Linked DNA regions of Astyanax mexicanus. The protein of the gene in region 1 purifies or fractionates together with the protein of each later gene. This does not show direct contact. Links are inferred from orthologs where the notes say so. Each region holds a gene or a part of one and is shown in the gene's direction. Other genes may lie near its edges. The genes, in order: mad2l1, anapc1, kif20a and anapc7.

Region 1 (7,351 bases):
TTCCGACCCTGAAGGGCTCTGGTGTTGATTGGATTTAAACATTTGACCTCTTTTGACTCCTGGAACCCCCCTTTTGACTGGGTTTACATTACCCAGTTTTCAGAGACAGACTGTTTATTTTTGGTTTTATTAGTAATTACTTTACAGGCGATTTTTTACTTCTACCCCTTACATTTTCACACAATTATTTGAACTTTCTACTCCTTTAAAACTCCATTTTAAAAACAGCCTTGTTACTCCTGCCATTTCAGCTTGTTTTGGTTCCGGCTTTTCATCGCTCAAAAAAAAAAAAACTCTCAGATGAATCTCTCCATTCAGATAAAGCAAATCTGATTGTGGTTGGATGAGAAGAATAAACATATACCATTCTGACACCCTATTGGTTCATGCAAAATTCATCCATATGCACGTCATGTCACTCCAGCAAGTTTATAGATTTTTTTGGTTTCTACTGCATGTTTGTATCAATTTTCAAACAATATTTTACAGTGACATAGTCTTAAAATGAAAAAAAAAAAACAGTTTAAAAGAATATCATTATCAGAAAAATACCATTAAATATTGTGACATTATTTTAGGTCAATATCGTCCACCACTATCTCAGCTTCTTTTGTATTTTAATTTGTATATTATTTTAATCTTATGCAGTTTATATGCATGCACTACACATATTGCTTTTTGAGTTAAGTTTGTTCTTTATGTTTTAATTTTAGTTAATGCCGTTTATTTGCAAGCACTACATTTATTGTTTTTTAGTTTAGTTTTCTTTTTGTCTTTTATTTGAATATTATTTTAATTTTTGCAGTTTATGTACATGCACTGCAGTTAGTTTGCATTTTATATTTTATTTGCATTTATTTTATTTTTATGCACTGCATATTTTGCTCTTTAGTTTTGTGGTCGATTTTTTTTGTTTCACAATAAACATTTAAAAAATATTTTGCTGTAGAATATAATTGAAATATTTGAAAAGTAATATACTTGTAAGTATTAAAGCATTTTTCAATAATATTTTTATTAGAAAAATAAAAAATATAATATTGTGATATTATTTAAGGGCAATGTCTTCCACTACTAATTTATCTCCTTTACTATTTGTAGTAGGCCTAACTTTTTTATTAGAGCAGAATGAATATTATGTACTGCATGGCCATAATCATATCAAAACTTCAAGACAGAGAGACAGACAGACAGCACGCCAGACAGACAGACAGACAGACAGACAGATAGCCAGACAGATGCTGCTGACTTACAGTAGGCCAGCAGAGCGCTGGAGAAATCCCCCTGAATTTCTTTCCTCAGTGATTCCCTCCTGCTGCTGCTGCTGGATCTCACATACTTTCTCTATGCAGTAATTGCACTCTTGGCTACTTATAGGCCAAAAACTCACTCTTTTCAGATCCCCACACTGAAAGACTTCTCCACTTGCATTTTGTGGCAACTTCACAGGTTTGCATGACAAACACGACATAATTAAATAAATCATGGAAAAATGTACCAGGGAAACTTTATGCCTGACATCAACCTTGGCAGGTGAGCCTTCATTGCATGGTGATGATGCACACTTTATGGAATTCTGTATGGAAAGGGGAAATCTGAATAATTCCATGCAGACTGTACAAAGTCTGTCGTATGGGAACAGACCTGCATAAGAAATTGTACAGTGATTGGAATCAGAAAAAAAAACATTTGTGATTTAGTGCATAATTAGTTTTAATCTCACTCATCTGCATCAGTTTACATTTCCTCCAAAATGAGTTCATGCTGACAGCTTGATTAAAATGTGTTCTTGATGAGACATGGATAGCAAAATTCAGGATTCAGTAACAATAAAATGAGTGATGAGTGAGTGACTGCTGCTGTGGAAGCACAGTCCCTGCCTACTATCAGCTTGTCGGCCTAAACTTCCACTCGCAAGCATTGTGAAAGCCAACTCCAACCCCAGTCATTACACTAATCTTTTCTTCTGTTTTGTCAAGTTATTTTGAATTTATTTTGTCCCTGTTGTAACTCTGTCTGCACTTAAGTCCTCCCTGGTGGAGGTTTCCATTAGGGAGTTAAGAATAAATGTAGCAGCAATCCCGAGATAAGTACCATCCTTTATTTTGCTTGCTGCTCTGTTACATAATATGTTTGTAAATAAAATATAGACATCAGAATTAATATGAAAAATAAAATAATACATGAAGTAGAGCAGGAAAGATCAACACAAAGGGCCCTTTTTCAGTGCAGATTGATTTAGGGAGTGTGAGTATGTTTTCACTATTATAACGATGGCAAAAGGCTTATATTAACTCCCTTAATCATAGGTATGTTTGGGCATAAAGTGCAATGAACAAATCTGTCTGCCTGCCACGGACTGTACTGCTCTCACAAAAAAACTCCATTTCCCAGGATACACCTGCCTCTAACCTCCCGGATGTTCCTGACCACGTGACGCCTCATGTGATTTCCCCTGTATATATAGCCCCTGTACTTTTGACCACTGTTTCCTATCCCTTTGTTTTGTTAGTCTTCTCATTGCAGACCTATTTTTGTATTATGACTACCCTTTTGCCCTTCTACTCATTATTGAATATACTGTGTATGACCTCCTTGCATACATACTCTGGTATGTTGCTTGTCTCTGCTGCCCTTTTGTTATTGACCTTGCCTGTCCCTGTCCATTCCCGTAAGCTTAGCACTTTTTAAATAAACTGTGCTTTTGGTATCTGCGTGTGTCTGTCGTGTGTTGCCCTCAAAGAGCCAGGTGTGATATAATCGTAACCTACATCTCTATTTAAATGACGCAGATGGAAGGTGTGAAAATAGACCCCTTAATGGGGTGCAAGATAACAATGAGCATTATATGACAAGGCTTGTGCACAGTGTATACATTTTAGTCAAAAAAACTAAGACTAAATCCAAATCACCTGTCAAAATTACCACTGCTAGACTACCAGCACAGGGTATTTTTTTTTCTGGATAACTATCTACAATGTAGAAAATAAATTAAATAAAGAAATAGAGAAAAACAGTAAAGAAAAATAAAGAAAAACATGAACTAAATTAAACTTTTGATTGGTACTATACATGTTTATTTAAATAGGATATTTGTTACAATAATAACAATACATTATTAAATTATTACTGTATTATTGTAATGTTATTGGTTATGACACTCAATTAAAATCAAATAGTTACAAATAAAAATGTATGTACTACATAGTATATAATTACAATGTAGAAATATATGAAACAATTTTATTTAACACTAAATACAAAATTACTACAAAAAACTCTCCTAGAAACGAAAAAGTTTAACTAAAAAATGCCATCAATTAACCCTTTCAGACCCTGCATCTATTTACAATGGAGCTGTTGTTCATTAGAATAGACCATGAATGAACCAGCCAATTAACAAGTTTATAAACCAATGAAACAGTAGCTTAGCCCCGCCCACTGAACTGGAAAAACAGTAGTACTAGTAGTAGCCATTGATTAGTAACAGTTTACTAATTTAATGTGATTTAGAACATTTAAATTTTTATTTTGCTGTTTGAGTAAGGTTTATGAAATAAAAAGGTAAATAAAAAATATATCTAAAACATTACACACAGACTTCCAATGCAATGGAAAAAAAAATAGTTAATAGGATTTATTTGCTATATAACTACATTTTATAGTAGAATATTATAGTCTTTTTTCTGTGCATTACAGATAGAAAACCGCATTCTTAAATATCTTTTCTTCACTGGAGATAATTTAGGTCTGAAATGGTCAGTGTAACGTTTATTAGTTTAATTGTCTGACAATTTAATGCTAAATTCGAAAATAGACAATTGAGGGTAAAACTCATTTTTTTTATTCTTACAATTTGGTGTAGTACAGAAGAATTGGGTTTAAATCAATTTTTCCAATTTTCTATTTTTTAATTTCTGCACCTACCAATTAAAATTTCAGGGAAAATGAAAAAAATGTATATATTTCTCTTTTTTTTTTCCCTTTTGTAACAGAGTTGCATTATAAACCATCAGATTTCAAGATACAAAAATGGAAAAATCTAAAAAAGAAAAAGAATCTAGAATCTAAAAAAGGCAGACATGATTGGAAAAGATTGGAAAAAAAAAACAACAAAAAATTCTTCTTCACCAAAGTAAATACAATAAATAAATAAATAAATAAATAAATAATTAATTAAGTTTTATACTTAATTTTCTATGTTTCTATGCTCTATTTTCTATGAAACAGTCAGAAAATTGAAGTGATAAGACGTTATGGATCAACAGAGCGGCTCTTCAGCGCTGACGCTGTGCGTAATGGCGTCATCAGCGTTGCGCTGTGTGTTTTGATGGTGCGCATGCGCGCCAGTTCAAACGCGCTCTGAATTCAAACTGAGCGGCGGGTGAAACACAGAGAGCAGCGCTGCTGAGAGAAACAATCGCGGCAGAGCCATGTCCAAAACACTGCAGGGAATCACGCTGAAAGGCAGCGCCGAGCTCGTGGCGGAGTTTTTCTGTAAGTCGAGCCGTTATTGTGTCCGTTTGTTTGAGAGAACCGGGGATGAACCGTCTTTAAACTGTAAACTGGCTGCGTGTGTAACGTTAGATAGACAAGGTTAGCTAACAGTTAGCTTAGCTTAGTTTAGCTAACATTAACTAGCGTTAAAATAGCTCCACCACGACTCCGTTTAATTTATATACAGTAATTCCGCTGGACACTAGTTAACCTACATTTAGTTGGTCGGTAAAACACTGAGAAGCCTCTTTTTTGTCGTGGTGAAACGTGTTTTTAACGGAGTCTAAACTGGCGGAGGGCGTGTTTAATTGTGCAAACCTTTTAACGTTAACGTGGGTTCGGTTGTCAGTGTTTTAGCACGACAGCAGTCGCGAGTTAACATAGCTAGTTAGTTGTATAGTTTTATGACAAGGTTCCCCGTACAGTTGTCTGTTAGCTAACTAGCTAACTAGATTACATTACACTTGTGGTCATGTGTCGAAAAGCCCCAGTTTCGTCATTATTTATAAATAAATGGCTGATCCTCCTCTGCATGGCCTGCTGTACAACCACAGCTAACACCACATACTGCTTTAGACAAAGTAATGATCATTTAAAAAGTTACTAAATTACTTAAGTCTGACTGATTTAAAGTATATATTTGTTCACTGTGTGTTTTTTTATACAGCGTTTGGGATCAACAGTATCCTGTACCAGAGAGGAATTTATCCTGCAGAGACTTTCTCCAGAGTCACACAGTATGATATGAGTCTTCAGCTCACTACAGACCCCAAGCTAAAGACCTACCTTACCAACGTTGTGACACAGCTCAAAGGTAGACTCACTGTTCACACTACTACTACTGCATTAAAAAATAGAACATTATTGAAATGTTACTTTATTTGAGTAATTCAGTTCAAAATGTAATACTCATAATAATAAAGGTGGAAAATAAAAATCTACATCTCCATAAAAGTTGTTAGCATTGGAAAGCATGTAGTGCTGTACGATTTTCCTGAAAAAACACCTGAACCTGATTTATCACAGTGGACCAACACCAGCAAATGACATGTCTCTCCAAACCATCCCTGATTGTGAAAACTTCACACTAGACCTCAAGCAGCTTGGACTGTGTGCCTCTTCACTGGTTTGGGTGGTTTGGAGAGTCTGCTGGTGTTGCTCCACTGTTTTATCAAGTCCGAAATCATTTCAGTGTTTTCCCGAAAACCATACAGCACTCCAGCTGGACTTGGCACACTTCTTACACTGCCAAAAGCATCAATTGGTCTTTATTTAATATTCTAAGTTTCTGGGATACTGATTTTTAATTTTTTAATTATTAACACTAAGAATAAACTCTTAAAAAATATCACTCTGTGTGTAATACATGTATATAATGAGTTTCACATTTTTAGCTAAAATACTGAAATGAAGTAACTTTTTAATTATATGCACTTTAAAATGCAACCACATAATATAGTAAATCCATAATATCTGTATCACCGTGCCACATGGAATGTCTTCCATATAACCCTAGATACAAGTAATAATCTTTGTATCTATCTATCTCTATCTATCTCTCTATCTATCTATCTAATAAAAATCTGAATTTTTCAAAGGTATGTGATTCTCAATAACAATTTCACAATAACTTCAGTTTATAAACAAACAGCACTATTTAAAGTGCACAATGAATTATTGCTTTCACATTTACTTTCAACAATTAAATACCTATCCCATTTTGAAAATTGCATTAGAACAGTAATTTCATTAATCAAATTAATTTGATTAAACTCCCAGCCCAGATATCTTTTTCTTTTTTTCTTTTCTTCTTTGTATAGATACATTGTAGTTTTTAGTCCATTATCATCTTTTTATGTGGCATGACAACTGTTTCACTGCTAATTGTACTGTGTGTGTGTGTGTGTATATATATATATATATATATATATATATATATATATATATATATATATATATATATATATATATATATATATATATATATATATATATAATTGTAAATAAAATACACTCATATTATAATATTGTTTGATCTTTGCTTTTTATCAATAAACGACTGACCTGTTTTCCACAGAGTGGCTGTTTGATTGCACAGTTCAGAAGCTGGTGGTGGTGATCACATGCCTTGAGACAAATGAAGTCCTGGAGAGATGGCAGTTTGACATTGAATGCGACAAGACTGCAAAGGATAGCAGGTATTATTATATTTGAGGAAATGTCAGTAGATTTGTCCTTATATTATTTGAAGTATCTGCAGGTGAAAGTTTGTGCAGTTGTTAATCTGATCTGTGGTGTGTTGCGTATTTTAGTGCTCCCAGAGAAAAGTCTATAAAAGCCATCCAGGAAGAAATCCGTTCTGTCATCAGACAAATCACAGCCACTGTCACCTTCTTGCCTTTACTGGAAACTGCATGTAAGTATTCTACCTTCTCATTAACTATGTGTCATGAATTACGTTCTTTGTTTCTATTATATTTAACTTGTACTATGAAACATGGTGGTTGAAAGTATGCAAATGTTCCATGTTACATAGGATGGCAAATGTGTGTATGTATATGTATATATGTATGTATGTATGTATGTGTATATATATATATATATATATATATATATATATATATATATATATATATATATATATATATATATATATATATATATATATATATATATATTTTTTTTTTTTTTTTTTAGTTTTGGTAAAGTGTAGTGACAACTAGCTCTCAAACCAAAATTTAAACATAAATACAGGTTTGTGAGAGAGATCTGTATTACTACTACATGGGTTTATAGATATAGATTATTGGGTTTATAGATAGGTATTAGAGTAAAGTCAGTAACTTTACTGTAA
Region 2 (6,878 bases), on another chromosome or scaffold:
CCTGACTCAGAGAGGTGTTATAAATGTCAGTATAAACCTCTGCGAGTTCCCAGGCACAGTCTCTCAGCACACGGCCAGGAATGTTGTCAGGCCCAGGAGCTTTCCGAGCATTGATCCTGCTGAATGCTCTCCTCACACTGTCTGGGGACAGCGTCAGCACCTGGTCACCAGGAGGAAGGATGGATTTCTGGGCGGGTGTGTTGTTGAGTGGCTCGAACCTTGCGAAGAACCCATTCAGGTCGTTCAGCAGAGATGTGTCGCTGTCGCAGGTCTGTGGATGTGGTTTATAGCCTGTGATAGACTGGATACCCTGCCACAGGTTCTGTGTGTCTCTGCTGTCACTGAAGTGTTGGGAAATCTTCTTTGAGTACAAAGGTGTAAGGTATTAGGTGTAAAAAACGCTATATAAATAGATTTTCCTAATAAAATTTCCTCCAACAGTCCAGAGTTAAAAGTGGATTGATAAGTGTGATGAGCAAAGTAGAAGAAAACAGAGATAAATGTAGAAGCTGAGAAGTAAAAAAAAGCAAAGAAACAAAGCTAGCATCAAGGCAAGACAGAGCAGACCAGAGTGGCAGAGCACAGAAACTCCACCCAGAAAGGGAGTTGAACCCAAGACCCCAACACTGGGAGTAAAACATTTTAAACACTAAGCCACTATGCCACACTAATCTCTGACCGTTTCTCAATCTGCATTCTTGTCTGTGCTTGTGTTCTTTTCTTGTGGACTCGTGAAATGTCATCAGTCGCAGCCCAAGTACTGTTCCAATTAAAAGATCGCAGTTAGCCAAGTACACAACAAATACTCGGATGTGTTCTTGCTCCTACCACTCTATCTAGGATGCATGGAAGGTGACTTGTTAGCACTTCTCACAGCCCGATATCCCAGAATGCACCTCGCAGGAGTATCAGCGTATTGGCGGAGGAGAAGGTACATAACTGAAAGCACCTCTACGTTTTTAAAATAGTACTGCTGTGTGCTAAATAATGTTTTAAGTTATTTTTAGGTGAGAATGTAGGGGTTTAGATTTGTATGTAGATATGTAGTTTATTTATTAAGAAAGCTGCGAGGTGAAAATTTGCTCCTACATTTTTGGAACAACGCTTTCCGCTCCTCTAAGGGTTGACGTCATCAAGTACACAGCTGTTCCAATTACACAACAACCGTCCTGCTTCCTCCTGTCCTCGAAAGTACGCACTTGCGAGTTGATCTTCCAAAGTCTGTACTTGCCAAGTACGGGAGTCCAGACTTGTGTACTTGTGCATTGAGAAACTGCTTCTGCCTACCGAGGGCTGAGACACTCGATCTGACTGGTGGTCAGCCACTTGCTAGACTTACATTGGATTTTTCATCAGGCACATCAAACATAAAGTACAAAATACGTAATAATAAGAGACCTGATAAAAATAAACAAGGTCAGATTTAATTGACAGAACATTTCCGCACCCTGAGTCATCATGCTGTTCACTGCTGCCCTGCTGTTTCTGGACTGGGAGAACCAAAACGGATTTTTACTTAAACTGAGGAATCGTGACTCTTCTTCGTCCCCTCAGACACCTGCTATATCACTCAGTGACGCAGACTGATCTGAGCACAACCAAATCATACTCTCTCTCTCTTTTTCACACACACATGCATGAATAACACCCTGTATTGCAATTAAAGAACATGTTATATACTAAATTGCTTTAGAGATCAATTTGCAGCTGTCTCAAAGCCCACTGACACTCATTAAGTATCACTCAAGGGCTAAACTGTGACTTACTAACCATAAATCCTGTGCTGGTCCACAGGGTTATTCATGGTTTTTCTGACCTGTTGTAGATCAACCTCTTCTGTGGTTGCTGTTAAAACAAGGTAACTGATTACATAGTAATACTGTGTGTGAGCCTGAAGGAACAACAGTGCAGAGTTGAGATGTGGCTCTTCGGAAAGGCCATTCTAAAAGCTTAATATTAAAGTCTGATTAATTCTCTCCACAACCACTTTTCATGTGTGTTTGGGATAATAGTATTGTTGAAACATCCAATTGTATCCTGTTTCCACCAGTCTAGCTGATAATCTAAGGTTATTCAGAAGAACCTGGAGGTAGTCCTCTTTCTTCAAAATTCCATACACTTTTAAATTAGCAGCACAGCTGTCCCAAAGAAAGGTGCCACATCACCATGCTTATTCTACTTATTCAAACCCATTTCCTTTTACCTGAGGGGGATAAACAGCTTTTTTGAGACCCAGACAAAGTGGCCAGCTGTTAGCATTGCAGCTAACTCACGCCAGCCTGGTTGCTAGGTAGGTGTATTTATATTTTTTACTTTTAATCTTGTGTTGATTAGAAAACTCACATAATTCAAACATGTGCACCAAAGTATGTTTTTATTATTAAAGATATTGTACACGTATTGTGTGCCAGAGCAATAACAGTTGCAAGTATTCCTTAAAAATGCTCACCATTGCTGTGACATCCATGTTCAGTGATTGTACCAGTCAAAAGTTTTGGTACACATTTGTATTTAATGTTTTTATTTTTTTCTTAGGTCATCCAGATAAAGGAACACATAAATAATCATGTAGTAAACTTGTAGAAAAAAAACAAAATACTCTGCTATCTGATGGTTATTCTTGGTCTTCCTTTTCTTGAGCGATCCTAATGATAGCCAGTTTCATTAAGCTGTTAAGTGAAAGCCATTCCAGGTGACTACCTCAAAAAGCTACCCAGCTGACATTTCAACATTGAATCCATGTTGATGTTGAATCATGGTGTTGATATGGTGTTGATTTTGCAAAGTGAATCAATGTTGATATGGCAACGTTGTTTCAACGTCATATGTTCAACCTTAGATAAACCATAGCTCACATTCGGGATGCTCAAAGTTGTATGAAAGGGAAAAAAACTGTATGCCATGATGAAAAATTAACAATTTTATTTTTATTCTCCCTCTCTCTGGATATACATCTATGAGAAGTAGCAATTACTACAAGTAGCTAAAACTAGAAAATCATATTGTTAACAGTGTTCACAATAAACTTACATCACTGTGCTAAAGCTGGGTATAAAAGAATGTTTACCAATCTGATTCAACATTTAATCTCAAAAACACAACAGTAAAACAAATAGAACATGAACATACCTCCAAATACGGTGAATAATTGGTGGCAAATTAAAAAGCAATTACTGCAAATGTAAGTAAAAACACTTTTTCATCCCTATATTTAACCATTTTTTAAAACTGTATGCTGATTAAATGAAAAATGTTAATTGAAAAGGCAGAAGGTTGAGGACATTATGTTAAGTCAACGTTAAAAATTCAACATTTGCACTACCATTTAACGTCTGTTGAAGCAACAACAGACATTTCTTCCACCATATTTCAACCTCAGTGCCAGCTAGGTCACTGAGAAAATGCCAAGATGTGCAAAGCTGTCATCTAAGCAAAAGGTTCTAGTTTGCAAGATCTAAAATACAAAACATATTCTGGTTTGTTTGACATTTCATTGTTTACTAGATAATTCCAGATGTTTTACTTCATAGTTTTAGTGACTTTACTATAAATCTACAATGCAGAACATTTTAAAATACAGAAAAAAACACTGAATTTAATGCGTGTCCAAACTTTTGGGTGGTAACGTTACTGTACCTGTTGAGGAGATATTGATCAGTTAGTTAGCTATCACCGGTTGTGTGAAGAAGAGAAAAGTAACAGGAGTAGAATGTGTTTCTGGTCGCTGTGTGGATCTGTAGATATATAAATCATGTGTTTAGGAATATCTGATTTATATAATATGCGCTATCACCGTGAGGCTCGTGTTGAGATCAGCGGGACTGCGGCGGACGCTGTGATTGGCCGCACTCGCAGCGCGAGTATCACGGGAAAGCAAGATGTCCGCGTGCGTTTGAAAATGTGTGTTTACTGGTTTGCTGCAGTTTAGCGGTGGTTTTAGACAGTTTGCGCCCTGTGCTTCACTCTCCGCGCGCTGCAACGGCGGGAGACCCGGCTGGAGAAGAGGAGGGAGCTCAGAGAGAGGAGCCGGACTGTTGTTTATTAGCGGGCTTGCTGAAGAAAATGGTTTGGTAGCTCCGCTGCTAATGCTAGCTTAGCTTAGCTTAGCCTAGCCCAACTTAGCCTAGCCCGCTGCCGCTGTGAGGCCGGGCGCGTAGAGCCGCTGAGGTCCGCCGCTGCTGTTTTAATGTCTGTGGGAGAAATAATGCTGATACTGGGAACTCATGTCGAACGTGTATGAAGAGAGAGCCGCAATGATAGCCGCCGGGGAACTGCAGCCGTTTGTCCCGTTCGGTCGTGAGCACTGCAAGAACCACCCGAACGCCGTGAACCTCCAGCTGCGCCAGCTGCAGCCCGCCTCAGAGCTCTGGTCCTCGGATGGAGCGGCCGGACTCGTGGGGTCCCTCCAGGAGGTCAGCCTCCAGGAGCGCCAGAAGGTACACTACAGTAGGCTGTACACTAAAGTACAGTACACAACACTGCGCTGGAGTACACTGTGTTACACTAAAGTATAGTACACAACACTGCGCTGGAGTACACTACATTACAATAAAGTACAGTACACAACACTGCGCTGGAGTACACTGTGTTACGCTAAAGTACAGTACACAACACTACATTGGAGTACACTATATTACACTAAAGTACAGTACACAACACTGCGCTGGAGTAGACTACATTACACTAAAGTATAGTACACAACACTGCGCTGGAGTACACTGTGTTTCACTAAAGTACAGTACACAACACTGCGCTGGAGTACACTACATTACACTAAAGTATAGTACACAACACTGCGCTGGAGTACACTGTGTTACACTAAAGTACAGTACACAACACTGCGCTGGAGTACACTACATTACACTAAAGTACAGTACACAACACTGCTGGAGTACACTACATTACACTAAAGTACAGTACACAACACTGCGCTGGAGTACACTACATTACACTGAAGTACAGTACACAACACTGTGCTGGAGTACACTACATTACACTGAAGTACAGTACACAACACTGTGCTGGAGTACACTATATTACACTAAAGTACAGTACACAACACTGCACTGGAGTACACTATATTACACTAAAGTACAGTACACAACACTGCACTGGAGTACACTACATTACACTAAAGTATAGTACACAACACTGTGCTGGAGTACACTACATTACACTAAAGTACAGTACACAACACTGTGCTGAAATACACTGCATTACACTAAAGGACAGTACGCTACCTTACATTACACTAAAGAACAGTACACCACTGCACCACAGACAACTTTAATACTCTAAGCACACTACATTACACATATTGCTTAACGACACTGCACTACAGTACAGTGCACTTTACTACACTACAGTACTACAGTACAGTAAACTATGCAGATTGCCTAACTACAGTAGACTACAGTACACTGCACTACACTACAGAGTACACTACATTACAGAGCAGCATGCAGGTTGTTTAACTACACTACAGTAGACAAAGTACACTGCACTAGACTACAGTACAGTACGCTACAGTAAAGTACTCAATATGCTTGAGTGGACTACGTTACATTAATGACAGAATTGTATACAGTATACATGAGGGGAATTTAGAACCGGTATGCATTTTTCACATGCCGCCATGCCGCTAGAGGCGCTGCAGGGTGCTGTGTAGAACAGTGCCGGCAAAAAAGCACCCTAGCAGAGCTCGCTAGCTAGGGCTAACCATTTAGCATAACAAGCTAACACCGCTCAGTGAGGTCGCACACTGTCCTGACTGGAGCTTCTGCTGTTGCTGATTACAATATGAGTAACTTAAGCCCTGTTTAAATATATTAATACTGTAACTTGAAGGATAAAAATGCACAGTGAACTGAAAGTAGAAGTAAAATTGTGATAAACTAATAAGCAGCTGCTTAAATACTTTAATGCCTCTAATGGCTTTTATATAATAATATAGTTTTATTTGATATTAAACTTGTGTATAACTATATATTATAATATATATATATATATATATATATTATTATTATTATTATTATTATATATTATAACTATATATAATAATAATATAAAAACGTGATATATTGTAAAACCATCAAAATCTTGCAAAATACTTTGATGTGCATTTTAGCAGGGGTGAAATTTGGACAGTATCCATTGTTTTAAAATTTTCTTTACTTTTCAGGAATCTTGGCAGCTTAGGAAGGGTTCCACCATCACAACTGATGAAGCTGAATATGAAGAGGAGCTGTACGTGGCAGGACATATGGTTATCTGGAGTCGGGGGAGCAAGAGTCAAGCATCCAATGTGTATAAAGCTTTTACAGTGGACAGTCTAGTGCAGCAGGTATTGCCAATATTCATAGACTTTTTTGAGTAATTTCCCTTATAATAAGAGCAATAAATAGCAAGAATAATACAAGAACAATAGTAATAATAATAAGCATCTTTCTTAATTAAAACAATATTTGCAAAGATTACAGAGAAGAAGAAATAAAATCAAATTGAAATAGCTAGCAGCTAATAAACTGTTATTAGCAGTTAAGATATAAAATTGCTATATAGTCATGCTTTAAATACAGTGGTATGAAAAAGTTTGGGCACCCCTGATACTTTTCATTATATTCATTAGCAATTTCAGTTAAATATGTCATATAGCAGATAAACACAGTGAAATTTGAAAGGTGAAATGAAGGATTTGCAGAAAGTGTGCAATATATATATATATATATATATATATATATACACACGTGTATGTATATATATATATATATATATATATACGTATATATATATATATATATATATATATATATATATATATATATATATATATATATATATATACACCCACGTGTGTATATATATATATATATATATGT
Region 3 (7,209 bases), on another chromosome or scaffold:
TTCCAGGAGAGAAATCTGTGTAAATTAACATCCAGTGCTTGTTTGACTTGAAAATATATTTTTTTAAGAATTACAGTTTTGTTTACTTAGAATTAGAAGGGAAACATGACGACACCCTTGTTCCTTACTATTGTCGCGTAAATGCACCTTATATTCTGGTGCACCAAATTATAATACACCAGCAAATAGACGTTCATTGATAGTGCGCCTTAGAATTAGGAGCTCTATAGGTGCCCTCATAACGTGATGAATCATATTTGATAGTAAAAGACAAAGTAAATAGTTGTCAACCGATTTCCATTATTGATATTTAATTTATTCAAAGCTGTAACCGTGATCCTGCTGCAGTGTGTGAGGAGGTAATGCAGCAAGGTTTCGTTGAAGTTGTAAAGCTAGATTTTGTAAATGTTTGTTTTCTTTCTTCCTTAGAGTGGAACATAGAGGGAAGATCTGGATGAAACCAGGACTAAAAAAATGTAAGTTCCACACATCCACATATAGCATTTTGTTTGTTTGTTATTTTCTAATCTTGTATTATTTGTGTGTACAGATGCCTGCGCACTCACACTGGACCAAAACACAATACACCCTTGTCTTACTCTGTCTGAGGGAAACAGAAAGGCGAAGAGGTCTTGGGAGTATCAGATGTATCCAGAACATCCAGACAGATTTGACAACATCAAACAGGTTCTTAGTGTGGAGAGTCTGACTGGACGCTGCTACTGGGAGGCTGAGTGGGATGGGAGGGGGGCGGCTATGACTGTGTCGTATAAAGGAATAGCAAGGAAAGACTTTGGATTGAAAAGTCTTTTTGGGGCCTGGAATCAGTCCTGGAGTCTGGAGGGGTTTATTAATGCTGATTACGCTCTTTGGCACAATTGTCATCTTACTCCCATATCCACACCTCCGTCCCCCTCTCACAGAATGGGAGTGTTTCTGGACTGGGCGGCGGGTACACTGTCCTTCTACAACATCTCACCCAGCTCAGACACACCCATCCACATACACACCATACACCACACATTCACTGAACCAGTACATGCTGGATTCAGGCTTCGCTCCAATTCCTCAGTTTGTCTGTGTAATATAGATTAGCCATTATCAACACTGTGAGCTAGAATCAGACCCAAGTCACTGCTCAACCTTGATTTAACACCAGTTTTCATTAAAGCTTTTTGCAAATTTGTAATATTGTGAAAGAAAATGTTAATTAATCAGTGCGTGTATCAGTGGTGGTAGCTCATGGTGCTTTTTTAAAGAATTTGAACCTTTGCCTAGCTCTGAGTTTGGTAGTTTTAATAGCACTTTGTTAGCTGTACACAGCTGCAACTCAGTGAGAGTCAGTGAGTGGAATAAGTGAGTTAATCAAGGCTTAAGTCTGTGGCTGCACAGTAATCCTTTCACAAACCTTGTTTTTTATTTCATGTTTCATGTACTTCTTGGCTTCACTAAATATATGCCTACTGACAAAGCAAGTCAAACCTGTTCTCAGATCAGGCAAACCCAACGACAAGACAAGACAGCCTTGGTTACCATATTTGTGTAGGATATACCGATGGAATGTGGCCTCCAAATTAAAGCGCCAGAATGCTCTTATTGCGCATAAACTCCAATCTATCCACAGTTATCAATATAAGCGTCTGCCAAATGTAATATAATATAATATAGGCTGCTTTTCTGTTTTCGTATGTCTATGATGTTCATTTAATCTCCAAAATCTTCAAATCAATAAACTGCAATATTGCCAGTCCAATCATTTTTGTGTCCAGTGTTTTAAATAGCATTTAGTGTGCTAAAAAGCAGCGGTGCAATGCAGTCTAAGGGCGTTTTCACACCTAAAGTTCGTTTCTCTGGTCCGAATCAGTTAATGAGTTTGTTTACTTGGAGCGTTTTCTCGCTCTGTTCGGTCTGGCTTCACATAGGCATAAATGTAAACACACCGAAATGCACATCAATAAACCACGCGAGCAGCCTGTGTCCTCTGATTGGTCAGAGCTGTCTGACACGGGAGTATGTTAAATATAAATATACGAAAAAAGTAAAGACAGCGAGAAGATTTTGTGTTCCAGCGCAAATATCTGTGCTTTAACAATGAACGCTGAAACACTGCACTTTCAAACACAGTGTTTCTCCGTGCAGCGCAGATTTATACATAATAAACAGAGTCACGCGGCTGCGAGCAGTGAATGCAGCGCAGACGGCGCGTGCATGGACAGTGTTTGTTCACAGCTGTGGTAATCAGCGTTATCTGGCTAATATATCAGTTTAAACTGTGCTTGCTTTATCAGAAGTTTAGCTCAAATAAATGGCTTATATTTAATAGCTGGATCCGATCGAGACCGGATCACATTCTCACCACAAGCGAACCGCTCCAGAGTTCGTTTGGCTAGCTGGTCTCGGTCCGGTTCTTTTGATCCGCACCCGAGTGCGATTACTGTTTTCACACCTGCTCAATCGAACCGCACTAAAGTTACAAACAGACCAGAGTTCGTTTTAACCGGACCAAATAGTGCTGCTGTGAAAACGCTCTATGTAGTCAACTTTAGACTGTGCTGTCTCTGCACTACTACCTTGTAGTAGTTCAAGACTTATAGTCTATTATTTTACACAAACGTTTCTGCATGCCTACATTGATTTTGGTGATGTAAGGCTTGAATGCCGCTGCTTGGACATTGACACCTATTTCAGGAAGCGCTCTACTGTTCTTGAGAGAATCTTGAGGTCTTCATGCAGTTTTCATGCAGTAAATTTTACAACTTTGTGCACAGATGGGATCCTATAATGATGATGATTTGGATGGGTGAGCATATACTTTTGGTAAAATAGTGTATGTAGTGATTTAACACTCCTCTAGAGACTAGCCTGTACTGGCTGAAGAACCGTCTGTACTGACTAGTGACTGATCTGGAGACTTGCCTGTACTGACATGACAACTTCACTTTAGACCTGCTTGTACTGACTTGAGACCTGTCTTGAGATATTCCTGAACTGACCTTGAACCTGATGTGTCTTTGCTTACTCTGCACTTAACTTACACTGGCTTACAAATGTCATTTTTCTGTGCAAAGCAGACACCTTGTGTTGACAATGGCTGTTAATTGTTAATTTCTCTGCACTCTGAGGCATCTAGGTTGGCCACATATATACCAGTTGTGACAGTAGAACCATATCCAACATAAATTTCATGAAAAAAATATATCTTGCGGCCAGCTCCACGGGGTGGTAGACTTATTGTTTATTGCTTATATTTTCACTTGTATTTTACACATTTTGTCGGTTGAATGTTGAATTTAATATGGTACATCCATTCCCCATTCCTGCATTTCAGACCTGAAACACACAATAAAAATTGTATTAAAGCATTTTGTTGCCATTCCTTCTGCCAACAAAAATATGATGATCCCAATCAGTTACATTTTAAGGTGCTGTATTATTGTCATTGTTACATTTCTTTTAAATTGTAAAAACACTTTTTTTTTATTGGGAACAGGAAAGAACTGCAGTAAGGCCAGCCATGTACCTGTACCTTGCTTTGTAAAGTACCTTTGTGACCCTGGGTACTTCCTTTTTCTTACAGCACTTATGTTGGAGTTTTTCCTTGTTGCTGCTACTCACTGGAAGGGTTTATATGGAAGGGTTTATATTTTAAGTTTTATTTCTTCTGTCCTGGTACCACATTTTTGGAAAAGAGCTATAGAAATAAAACAGATTTGATGATTTATTCTAATCTTCTGTATTGTTTTACAGATAAACCCACTTATTGATCACTGGAATTATGTTTATTTTGGTATATTCTAATGTTATATATTGTTAGTTACAGAAAAAAACACTGACCACAGACTTTATGATTTTACTTTCATGGGTTTCATTTCATTCTGTTTTCACCTTTAAGGTTCTAGTGCGCTTTGTTGTTGTTGTTTACGCCGGTTTGGAGCTGCTGCGTTTTATTTGTCCACCAGAAATATCCAGAAAAGGAACCTAATTTCCCAATCCACCTTAAATGGTGCTGCTGTCACATGTAGTTTATTCCATTTAAGGTGGAATGGAACATTTTACATCTGCAGTACTGTTACTGGATTTCGTTGGTTAAATTCAAACCGTCACTGTGCTGCTCACCAATCAGCATCTGCGGCGGCCGCCCCTGCGCTTCTGATTGGCTGAGGTCGGCGCACAGGGATAGGCGGAGGGGGCTCAGCGCGATGTTTGAATACGTTGGTGAGAGTCGGTCGGGAGGCAGCGAGAGGTTCAGTAACTACAGTAGTGAGGTTAGCTTTCAGTAGTTTAACACAGCAGAGATAAAGATAGGTATAAGGAAGAGGTTTAGCAGTCAGGTCCGCGGGTATTTTGGCCGAAGAACTACAGATTAAGAACAGCAAAGGTAAGAATAAGCCCAAATCTTGATGTATAACGTTAAATACACGAGGAACAGCAGTCTGGGCTAGCTTTAGCATTAGCTAGATAGCAGTGTTTATGTAAACTCAGCGAAGTAAAGTAGTTAAACCTGACAAATAAACAGACACAACTATTGCTTGGCTGATTTAGAAACAATAATAATAGCTAACCAATCTATCTTAACTAGTTAAAGTAACTAACGCTAGCTAACTAGGTTACTAACTAACGAAAGTGACTACTGATCGGTTGGACGGTTTAACCCACAGTAGGAGAGTAATTTCTGTTTTTAGTCACTTTTCCTCTCTGCACAAACACATGAGGCTATATGTATTATTTAAAGCTCGCTAACAGGTTTCAGTGTTAGTCACTGTACTTATTAAAAATGTTACCAACGTCTAACAAGTACAGAAAACAATGACGCTTCTAATTTGCATGTCTTAAGTGTGACGAGGCTGAAGTTGGTTTGATATTCGCAGCTCCAGATTCGTTTGGCTCGATATTCGCAGCCTCGTATTCCCCGGCTGAAGTTGGTTTGATATTCGCAGCTGCCGCTACACTGAACCACCGTGAACTAAAGGGAGCGTTCACAAACACCCGCTGTTTATATTAAACACCTCACAGATCAACACTGAAGGAGATAGAATGAAGAAAAGCAGTACATCTGTTTATTAACAATGTAAATATACAATATATTATTAAATGTAATTTTGTATATTGTAAAATATTTGTTTTAATTACTGAATTTATAATTATATATTACAATAAATAATTAAATATATATTTAATAAAATTATATTTTAAAAGCCATTGCGCTCAAAAAAATGAGGCAGATGTTCAAGTGTGATTTTGAAGAACTTTTTCATGTTGGGCCAGACCAAATACACATGATCTGAAGAGTACTACTCTTCTTCTTTAAGGAAAACCTGGAATTAGCCTGGCCCAAGCTGATTTTATACTTTAAAATTAACTGGCAACATGGAATACCGATCCATAATGCACAATTTTTTTATGTAAAGCTGATGTTCCAGTGTGATTTTGAAGGACTTTTTCATATTGGGCCAGACCAAATACACATGATCTAAAGAGTACTAGTCTTCTACTTTAGGGAAAGCCTGGAATTAGCCTGGCCCAAGGTGATTTTATACTTTAAAATTAACTGGCAACATGGCATACCGATCCATAAGGCAGAAAAAAGTTTAATTTAAAGCTGAAGTTCTAGTGTGATTTTGAAGGACTTTTTAATCTTGGGCCAGACCAAATACACATGATCTGAAGAGTACTAGTCTTCTTCTTTAAGGAAAACCTGGAATTAGCCTGGCCCAAGCTGATTTTATACTTTAAAATTAACTGGCAACATGGCCTACCGATCCATAATGCACAAAAAAATTGAATATAAAGCTGATGTTCTAGTGTGATTTTGAAGGACTTTTTAATCTTGGGCCAGACCAAATACACATGATCTAAAGAGTACTAGTCTTCTACTTTAAGGAAAACCTGGAAATAGCCTGGCCCAAGCTGATTTTATACTTTAAAATGAACTGGCAACATGGAATACCGATCCATAATGCACAATTTTTTTTATGTAAAGCTGATGTTCTAGTGTGATTTTGAAGGACTTTTTAATCTTGGGCCAGACCAAATAGACATGATCTAAAGAGTACTAGTCTTCTACTTTAAGACAAACCTGGAATTAGCCTGGCCCAAGCTGATTTTATACTTTAAAATGAATTGGCAACATGGTATAACGAGCCATTTTGCACAAAAAAGCCACTGTTCCAGTACAATTTTGAAGATTTTTTTAATCTTGGGCCAGAACAAATACACATGATCTGAAGAGAACTAGTCTTCTACTTTAAGGAAAACCTGGAAATAGCCTGGCCCAAGCTGATTTTATACTTTAAAATTAACTGGCAATATGGAATACCGATCCATAATGCACAATTTTTCTTTATGTAAAGCTGATGTTCCAGTGTGATTTTGAAGGGCTTTATCATCTTGGGCCAGACCAAATACACTTGATCTGAAGAGTACTAGTCTTCTACTTTAAGGAAAACCTGGAATTAGCCTGGCCCAAGCTGATTTTATACTTTAAAATGAACTGGCAACATGGAATACCGATCCATAAAGCACAATTTTTTTATGTAAAGCTGATGTTCTAGTGTGATTTTGAAGGACTTTTTCATCTTGGGCCAGAACAAATACACATGATCTAAAGAGTACTAGTCTTCTACTTTAGGGAAAGCCTGGAATTAGCCTGGCCCGAGCTGATTTTATACTTTAAAATGAACTGGCACATGGCATACCGATCCATAAGGCACAAAAAAGTTTAATTTAAAGCTGATGTTCTAGTGTGATTTTGAAGGACCTTTTAATCTTGGGCCAGACCAAATACACATGATCTGAAGAGTACTAGTCTTCTACTTTAAGAAAAACCTGGAATTAGCCTGGCCCAAGCTGATTTTATACTTTAAAATGAACTGGCAACATGGAATAACGATCCATAATGCACAAAGAAATTGAATATAAAGCTGATGTTCTAGTGTGATTTTGAAGGACTTTTTAATCTTGGGCCAGAACAAATACACATGATCTGAAGAGAACTAGTCTTCTCCTTTAAGGAAAACCTGGAATTAGCCTGGCCCGAGCTGATTTTATACTTTAAAATGAACTGGCAACATAGCATACCGATCCATAATGCACAATATTTTTTATGTAAAGCTGATGTTCCAGTGTGATTTTGAAGGACTTTTTCATATTGGGCCAGACCAAATACACATGATCTGAAGAGTACTAGTCTTCTACTTTGAGAAAATTTTG
Region 4 (7,645 bases), on another chromosome or scaffold:
CATAAACCTATAAATAGTAAAATCAGAGAAACTGATTCAGAAACTGTATATTCAGTATAGAAACCTGATCTTTAATCAAATCTAATTCGTGTTTTATTGTTTTTGTCTATTGCAGGCATTATGACCTCAAACACAATGATGACATCGTGTCCTTCTTCAACGACTTCAGTGATCATCTGGCGGAGGAGGCGTTATGGGAGCTCTCACTGAAGATCAAGCCTCGCAACATCACCCGCCGCAAAACAGAGCGCGAGGAGAAGACATAGGGGTTCCTTCTCCTCCAGCAGAACTCTGGGTAAAGAAAGGCTGTGTGGACGGAAACCACGAGAAGAAACGGTTGGGGCGACGGCGGCGTGACGGCAGCTACGAGACTGGGACGGGGGAGCAGGACTGCATTTCCGCTACAGTTTACAGGACAAATTTGCTTTTTTATATATATAATATATCTCGGGATTGCACTGCATCTCGACCTGTGTAAATGTTGGAGTGAGGGAGACCTCAGAGAGCAAAGATTCTGGGTCAAGATCCTCCTTCTCTGGGTCTGGATCCTCTTCTAAAGGGAGAACCTTCTCCTCTGGGTTCGAGATCCTCATCTGCTGGGCCTGGATCCTTCTACTCTATGGTTGAGATCCTCTTCTTGGTCGAGATCCTCCCCCTTCCTCTGGGTGGAGATCCTTCTCTGGGTCGAGAACCTCCTTCTTTGGGTCGAGATCCTCCTCCTCAGGGTTCAAGACCCTCATCTGGGTGGAGACCCTCATCTGGGTGGAGACCCTCATCTGGGTGGAGACCTCCTCTTCTGCGTCGAGGTCCTCCTCCTCCTTTGGGTCGAGATCCTCCTCCTCCTCTGGGTCGAGATCCTCCTCCTCCTCTGGGTCGAGAACCTCCTCCTCCTCCGGGTCGAGAACCTCCTCCTCCTCTGGGTCGAGAACCTCCTCCTCCTCCTCTGGGTCGAGAACCTCCTCCTCCTCCTCTGGGTCGAGAACCTCCTCCTCCTCTGGGTCGAGAACCTCCTCCTCCTCTGGGTCGAGAACCTCCTCCTCCTCTGGGTCGAGAACCTCCTCTGCCTCCGGGTCGAGATCTTCCTCCTCTGGGTCGAGAACCTCCTCTGTTAACAAGATTTATGTTGGACGTTTTAATGAGGAACTCGATGCGATAAGACTTCTTCATCTGGACATGCTGTTATGACTCTTTTCTCAGGCTCTGTGGACACACTGTCTCTAGAGCGCCCCCTGCCTGTGACACAGTGACATCAGTTTCTGTGGAAATAAATGGCTTTGAATTGTGAAGACGTCAAAAACAAGAAGTTTGAACAATAAACGTGGAGTTTTTTATACATGGAACAATACGTGGAAAACAATGCACATGGACGACTGTTTACTAAGAACTTTAGAAGTTTAGAAGGAGTGTTTTTATGAGTGTTTGTTTATTTACAGTCGCTGTTTTCACAGCTTTCAGCATTTGGCACTAGGTCTTGGTATCTGCAGGCAGTGGTTGTTACTTATTGTTATTATTATTAATAATAGTACTATTATTATTATTATTATGAACCAAATGCTTTCGATCATTTCAACCAGTTTAGCACTTTCCTGGGATTTTAACCAGGGCCTTTTCCTTATCATGGAGATTTCTGTTGCCCCTGTTGCTGAGATAACACCAGTTACCTGGACTGGTTTACCTGGATTACGCTGGTTTGCTGGTTTTGTCCTCTTTCTCTTGTCATTCTTCCTGTTCAATGTTGTGTGTATGAATGACCCATTGATGAAACACACCTCCAACCAAGTCTTCCAACCGTATTTATTAAAATTGCTTTTTTCAGGAAAAAGATTGTGTTTTTGAGTCGGTCCTCTGATGTAAAGTGTGTAGTTTAATGCCATTAAATATCCATCATAGCAAATGTACTGTAGAAACACATTCATATGATTGACTGTTTTATAAAGCTCTGGAAAAAATGAAGAGACCACTTTAGTTTCTGAATCAGTTTTTTTTAATGCATCTTGGCATCATGTTCTCCTCCACCAGTCTTACACACTGCTTTTGGATAACTTTATGCTGCTTTACTCCTGGTGTAAAAATTCAAGCAGTTCAGTTTGGTGGTTTGATGGTTTGTGATCATCCATCTTCCTCTTGATTATATTCCAGAGGTTTTTAATTTAGTAAAATCAAAGAAACTCATCATTTTAAGTGCTCTCTTCATTTTTTCCAGAGCTGTATATGTTGTATATGTATGTTACACTTCTGAAGTCCATTTTTTGTTATTTAACTACAACAGAGCTCACACACAACCTGATACCAAGTGCCTAAAGCTGTTGAACTGGTGGCGTGATTTGTGTTCTTTATTTTTATATAATATAAGTCTTCTCCTTTTGTTTATTGTGGTGGTGTTTTTTATACGGATTTTATATTAAGGACACTTTCGGAGAGATTTATTCTCCCTTTCTCTAAACGGTATGAAAGTGCTGGGATTAAATAGTGGTTACAACAAATAAATAAAAATGACCTAAGTAAGGTCTGAGTCTGAAACTAAATGAATAAAAGAATCGGTACAATGGCAGGAGACTAATTTGTTACTAGAAATGATGTTACAGTGCTGGTTTCCTTTCAAACAGGGCTTAGGCTTAGTCCTGAACTATATACAGCTTTGTAAAAAATAAAATAAAAATAAGAGAGCACTTAAAAATGATGAGTTTCTTTGATTTTACCAAATTGAAAACCTCTGGAATATAATCAAGAGGAAGATGGATGATCACAAACCACCAAACCACCAAACTGAACTGCTTGAAGCAGTGTGTAAGACTGGTGGAGGAGAAGAAGGAGAACATGATGCCAAGATGCATACAAAAAAACAATGTTCATTTTACTCAAACATAAACCTATAAATAGTAAAATCAGAGAAACTGATTCAGAAACTGATGTGATCTCTTCATTTTTTACAGAGCTTTATATTTTTCTGGTTAATGGAAAAAATTCATTCAAATGCTGTGTAGTTCAAGGTCCCAGTAAATAATCAATGCAACTGATGCACTATATGTTTAAAATTGTTGGGACACCTGTTTGTTTTATTGTTTTTACCTGAATCGAGGGTATTAAAATTTAGTTTATACTGCTTTTGCTGGACTAACTGTCTCGGGAAGACGTTCTAATTTGATGGATGATCACCACCATATGTCTGACTATATGATATCACAATAATAATACATTGTCCACAATAACAATGATTTCACAATACTGTGTTTCTGCGATACTCAGTACATTGCAATACAATTCTCTATGATACTTCACAGCATCTGTGTTACTGAATAGGAAAAAATACTCCTAAAAATAAGTAAATACCGGGAATTATGGATTTTTTGGTGTTTCAGTTTCACAGAATTTCACAACCAGTATTCTTCACACAGGATTATTAACCCTATTCATTTGATTATAGCTCCACCATGTGGAATTAAGAAGTAATGATGACTTTAGGAACTGGAGGGGGCAAGTGAAAGTAAAAATAAAAAAGTGTTCATTTAAGTTAGTGTGTGTGTGGTGTAGTGGATAACACCACCACCTGCCAATGAGCTACCATGTGGAAGACTCGGGTTCAATTCCAGGTTTGGGTAACTGAATGCTGCGCTACACTAATGGGAGTCTTGCCCAAGGACTCTTATTGGCCCAAATCCGTAATAGAATTAACCTTGTTAAGCTCTATCCGGATGGGATTAGTTTCTCAGGGGGACGTCTGTGAAAAATATTTCAAAACTCCTGCACCTGTACTGCAATTGAAAAAACAGGAGGATCAGTGAGTTTTTAGGCTAAATTACCCAGAACCTCCTGAGAAACTAATTCCGTCCAGATAGGGCTTAAGTCGCTCTAGATAAGAGCATCAGCTAAATGCCATAAATGTAATGTATTATACATGTAATAAGTTTCGATAAAAAAAAAATATTTTTCTGCAAATATTTGAAATATTTGACCTCACATATTCATATTGTATCCTTTTTAAAAATTATATAAATGAAAGCATGGCTGAAAAGAAGGAGTAAACAGAGTTTATACTGCCGGCTGGAGGTGAGTACACACATACACAGCTCTGGAAAATATAAGAGAGCACTTATAAATGATGAGTTTCTTTGATTTTACCAAATTAAAAACCTCTGGAATAAAATCAAGAGGAAGATGGATGATCACAAACCATCAAACCACCAAACTGAACTGCTTGAATTTTTACACCAGGAGTAAAGCAGCATAAAGTTATCCAAAAGCAGTGTGTAAGACTGGTGGAGGAGAACATGATGCCAAGATGTATGATTTAAAAACTGATTAAAAACCACCACGGTTATTCCACCAAATATTGATTTCTGAACTCTTAAAACTTTATGAATATGAACTTGTTTTCTTTGCATTATTTTTTTTATGTCCGCAAATAAATGCTCTAAATTACAATATTTTTACTGATTCAGAAACGGAAGTGAAGGGGTCTCAATGTATCATTATTATTATTATTATTATTATTATTATTATTATTATTAATAATAATATTATAAACACGTGCAATAAGCTATGAGCTACATGTAAATAAATAATGTAAGTTATATTAAACACTGGGCTACCAGACTGTGGGGACTTTTATTTTGAAATGTAACTGCGCAACACTTCCCTTCCATTTTGAAATTGTCGCTTTTGATCTGCGTTGTGTTTCTCAGCGCTGCGGATTAAACTCTGATTATTTCTGATCAGTTTTATCAGTTTTATCAGTTAATCAGCTGAAGATGAGTGTTATTGATTATGTTCGGGACATGGCGGCCGCCGGCCTTTACTCTAATGTCCGGATCCTGAGCAGCCTTCTGCTGACCATGAGCTCCAACAACCCGTGAGTACAAATACCCAAATACCTAAATAATATTAATATCACCTTAATCTAACTAACTAACTAACTAAATAAATAACTAATTAACTAACTATACTAAATAAATAACTAACCTGCTGCTGACCATGAGCGCCAACAACCCGTGAGTACAAATACCCAAATATCTATCTAAATTACAAAATAACTCAATAACTAAATACATAAATACCTACATAACTAAGTATATAACTAACTAACTAACTAACTAACCTGCTGCTGACCATGAGCTCCAACATCCCGTGAGTACAAATTACCAAATACCTCAATAAATAACTAAATACTTAAATAACTAAATTAAATACCTAAATATCTGCTGACCATGAGCTCCAACAACCCGAAAGTCTGAACTTACCTTAAACTAAATAACTAACTACATAACTAACTAACTAACTAACTACATAACCCATGGGTGTTACCTCACCTCAACCTAAATAACTAACTAAATACATACCTAAATAACCAGATACCCGAATACTAATCTACCTGTTCATCACCTGTTATGTAGTACACCAGTGACGACTTTCTTCTTCAGGACATTTTAAACTGTTGTTCTGACTATGTCTGATATTTGTGTGATGGTTCTTAATTTGTGTTTCTTCATCTTCTCTCAGCTTCATAGTTGGTAGTTTTTCACCCATATAGACAATCTCTGTTTTGTGTTTGAAACTGAATGTAGATATTCAGGTATCAGAACACGGTTCTGTTTTCTGAACTGTATCAGATCTAGATGTAAATATCTGTAAATGTAATATAATAAAATGTAATGTTCTTGTTCCTACAGGGAGCTCTTTTCTCCGGCTCAGAAGTATCAGCTGCTGGTGTATCACGCTGATTCCATCTTCCATGATAAGGAGTACAGAAACGCAGCCTGCAAATACAACATGGCCCTGCAGCAGAAGAAAGTGCTGAGCAAAGCCTCTAAAGTGAGACCGTCCAGCAGCGGCGGCTCGTCCTCCGTACAGACTCAGGTCAGACCTCAGCTCCCGTAGTGATGTAATGATACACTGCTTTATTTAACATACTGAGACTTTTTTATATTGAGTATCTGATAAAATTAAGGAAAAGGACATTTTTGGTTTCAAAATTCTATACCAAAAGGCCACCAAACTAAATGTCTGATGCTTGTATGTGTGTGATGTACCCGTCTACTCTTGCCTGATTGGTTAGATCCAATGTGGCCGCTATTGCTCATTTGAATAAAGTTGATCTCTATGAAAAGTGAAAATGAACCTGATGTAAGAATATAAAAAAAAAATAAAAAAAAGAAAAGTACAGTTAAAAAAAGGAGGCTTTAATGGAAAAAAAATATTTTATAGATTATGATATACACCTAAAAATGAAAATATAGAACTGACAAAGTGTGTCCATTATTTTTTGTAAAAAAAAAAAAAAAAAAAAAAAGTACTCCGGTGCTCCTGTTTCAGGCTGTTTTAGTTCAGTGGAGGAGTGGGCGAGGAAGAAAGGTAGCATTTTCAGCTTTTATTTATGAGTATATTCATTCCATGCAAATGCCTTGCCTCTGATTGGCTAACAAGGCCATGAATCCTTAGTTACAGGTTGATGTCAGTCCGGGGGCTTTTCCCAATTCACTTGTTTTTCTATTTGTTTGTTTTTTTTTAATCGGTTAATGCAGACAATAAGAGTAGAAGAACAGTTTCATGTTTAACTCAGTGACCTACTGTATTTTAAAAAAGATCAATTACTACGTGCTTTCTAGTGAAATTAAATCTTTAAGTATTTAATGTGTTTATTAATATTTTACAGAATTTGCCCTCAGAGATTGAGGTGAAGTATAAGATAGCGGAGTGCTACACCATTCTGAAGCTGGATAAAGACGCTATCTCCGTGCTGGATGGGATTCCCTCCAGGCAGAGAACCCCCAAGGTGTCTTCTCTTTCTATTGATCTCTGATTGGTTGTTTTTTTGTGAGAGTGATTTCTATTTGTATATTTAATCTGATCCCAACAGATTAACATGATGCTGGCGAATCTGTACCGGAAGGCGGGTCAGGAGCGCTCAGCTGTTACGAGCTACAAGGAGGTTCTGCGTCAGTGTCCTCTCGCTCTCGATGCCATTATTGGTGAGTAATATTGCTAATAAAATATTAACACTAATTTATACAAATTTAAGCCAAAAAAATGGATTGATTTTGAGAAATGTTACTAAGAAAAGTTTGCGTCTCTGTGCTTCTCTCTCTGCTTCTTTCTTTGTCTCTCTGTTCATCTTTATTTGTGTCTCTCTTTGCGTCTCTCTGTTTGTCTCTCTCTTTTCGTCTCTCTCTTCATCTTCCTTTGCTTCTCTCTGTGTTCCTGTCTCTGTGCTTCTGTTTGTCTCTCTGTTCGTCTCTCTGTTCGTCATTATTTGCGTCTTTCTGTTTGTCTCTGTGCGTCTCTCTGTTTGTCTCTGTGCGTCTCTCTGTTTGTCTCTGTGCGTCTTTCTGTTTGTCTCTGTGCATCTCTCTGTTTGTCTCTATGCTTCACTCTGTTTTTCTCTGTGTGTCTCTCTGTTTGTCTCTGTGCGTCTCTCTGTTTGTCTCTATGCGTCTCTCTGTTTGTCTCTATGCTTCACTCTGTTTGTCTCTGTGCGTCTCTCTGTTTGTCTCTGTGCGTCTCTCTGTTTGTCTCTCATTATTTGCATCTTTCTGTGTGACTCTGTTAATCTGTTCGTCTTTCTTTGTGTCTCTATGTGCGTCTCTCTCTGTTTGTCTCTCTCTGTGCGTCTCTGTGCTTGTCTCTGTGTTTGCAGGGCTGCTGTCTCTCT

The links.
Region 2: the proteins of mad2l1 (region 1) and anapc1 purify together in Homo sapiens (affinity purification with mass spectrometry; 3 studies listed by BioGRID and IntAct, with this or other methods). This does not show direct contact. The link is inferred for Astyanax mexicanus from reciprocal best matches to the Homo sapiens genes MAD2L1 and ANAPC1.
Region 3: the proteins of mad2l1 (region 1) and kif20a purify together in Homo sapiens (affinity purification with mass spectrometry; 4 studies listed by BioGRID and IntAct, with this or other methods). This does not show direct contact. The link is inferred for Astyanax mexicanus from reciprocal best matches to the Homo sapiens genes MAD2L1 and KIF20A.
Region 4: the proteins of mad2l1 (region 1) and anapc7 purify together in Homo sapiens (affinity purification with mass spectrometry; 3 studies listed by BioGRID and IntAct, with this or other methods). This does not show direct contact. The link is inferred for Astyanax mexicanus from reciprocal best matches to the Homo sapiens genes MAD2L1 and ANAPC7.

Annotation. Positions count from the first base shown.
Region 1 is NC_064415.1:32,658,449-32,665,799, reverse strand, and holds the start of mad2l1 (mitotic spindle assembly checkpoint protein MAD2A), read left to right. Parts: upstream 1-4,338; 5' UTR 4,339-4,433; coding exon 4,434-4,497; intron 4,498-5,164; coding exon 5,165-5,311; intron 5,312-6,574; coding exon 6,575-6,695; intron 6,696-6,809; coding exon 6,810-6,913; intron 6,914-7,351. UniProt on the Homo sapiens protein: Component of the spindle-assembly checkpoint that prevents the onset of anaphase until all chromosomes are properly aligned at the metaphase plate.
Region 2 is NC_064414.1:12,396,201-12,403,078, forward strand, and holds the start of anapc1 (anaphase-promoting complex subunit 1), read left to right. Parts: upstream 1-3,852; 5' UTR 3,853-4,223; coding exon 4,224-4,436; intron 4,437-6,181; coding exon 6,182-6,343; intron 6,344-6,878. UniProt on the Homo sapiens protein: Component of the anaphase promoting complex/cyclosome (APC/C), a cell cycle-regulated E3 ubiquitin ligase that controls progression through mitosis and the G1 phase of the cell cycle.
Region 3 is NC_064424.1:33,418,478-33,425,686, forward strand, and holds the start of kif20a (kinesin-like protein KIF20A), read left to right. Parts: upstream 1-4,197; 5' UTR 4,198-4,378; intron 4,379-7,209. UniProt on the Homo sapiens protein: Mitotic kinesin required for chromosome passenger complex (CPC)-mediated cytokinesis. Following phosphorylation by PLK1, involved in recruitment of PLK1 to the central spindle. Interacts with guanosine triphosphate (GTP)-bound forms of RAB6A and RAB6B.
Region 4 is NC_064419.1:1,302,009-1,309,653, reverse strand, and holds the start of anapc7 (anaphase-promoting complex subunit 7), read left to right. Parts: upstream 1-4,630; 5' UTR 4,631-4,748; coding exon 4,749-4,849; intron 4,850-5,666; coding exon 5,667-5,853; intron 5,854-6,649; coding exon 6,650-6,769; intron 6,770-6,853; coding exon 6,854-6,965; intron 6,966-7,630; coding exon 7,631-7,645. Other genes in the region: rapgef1a (rap guanine nucleotide exchange factor 1), read left to right, coding at 116-266; proline-rich protein HaeIII subfamily 1-like, read left to right, coding at 620-881, 984-1,156. UniProt on the Homo sapiens protein: Component of the anaphase promoting complex/cyclosome (APC/C), a cell cycle-regulated E3 ubiquitin ligase that controls progression through mitosis and the G1 phase of the cell cycle.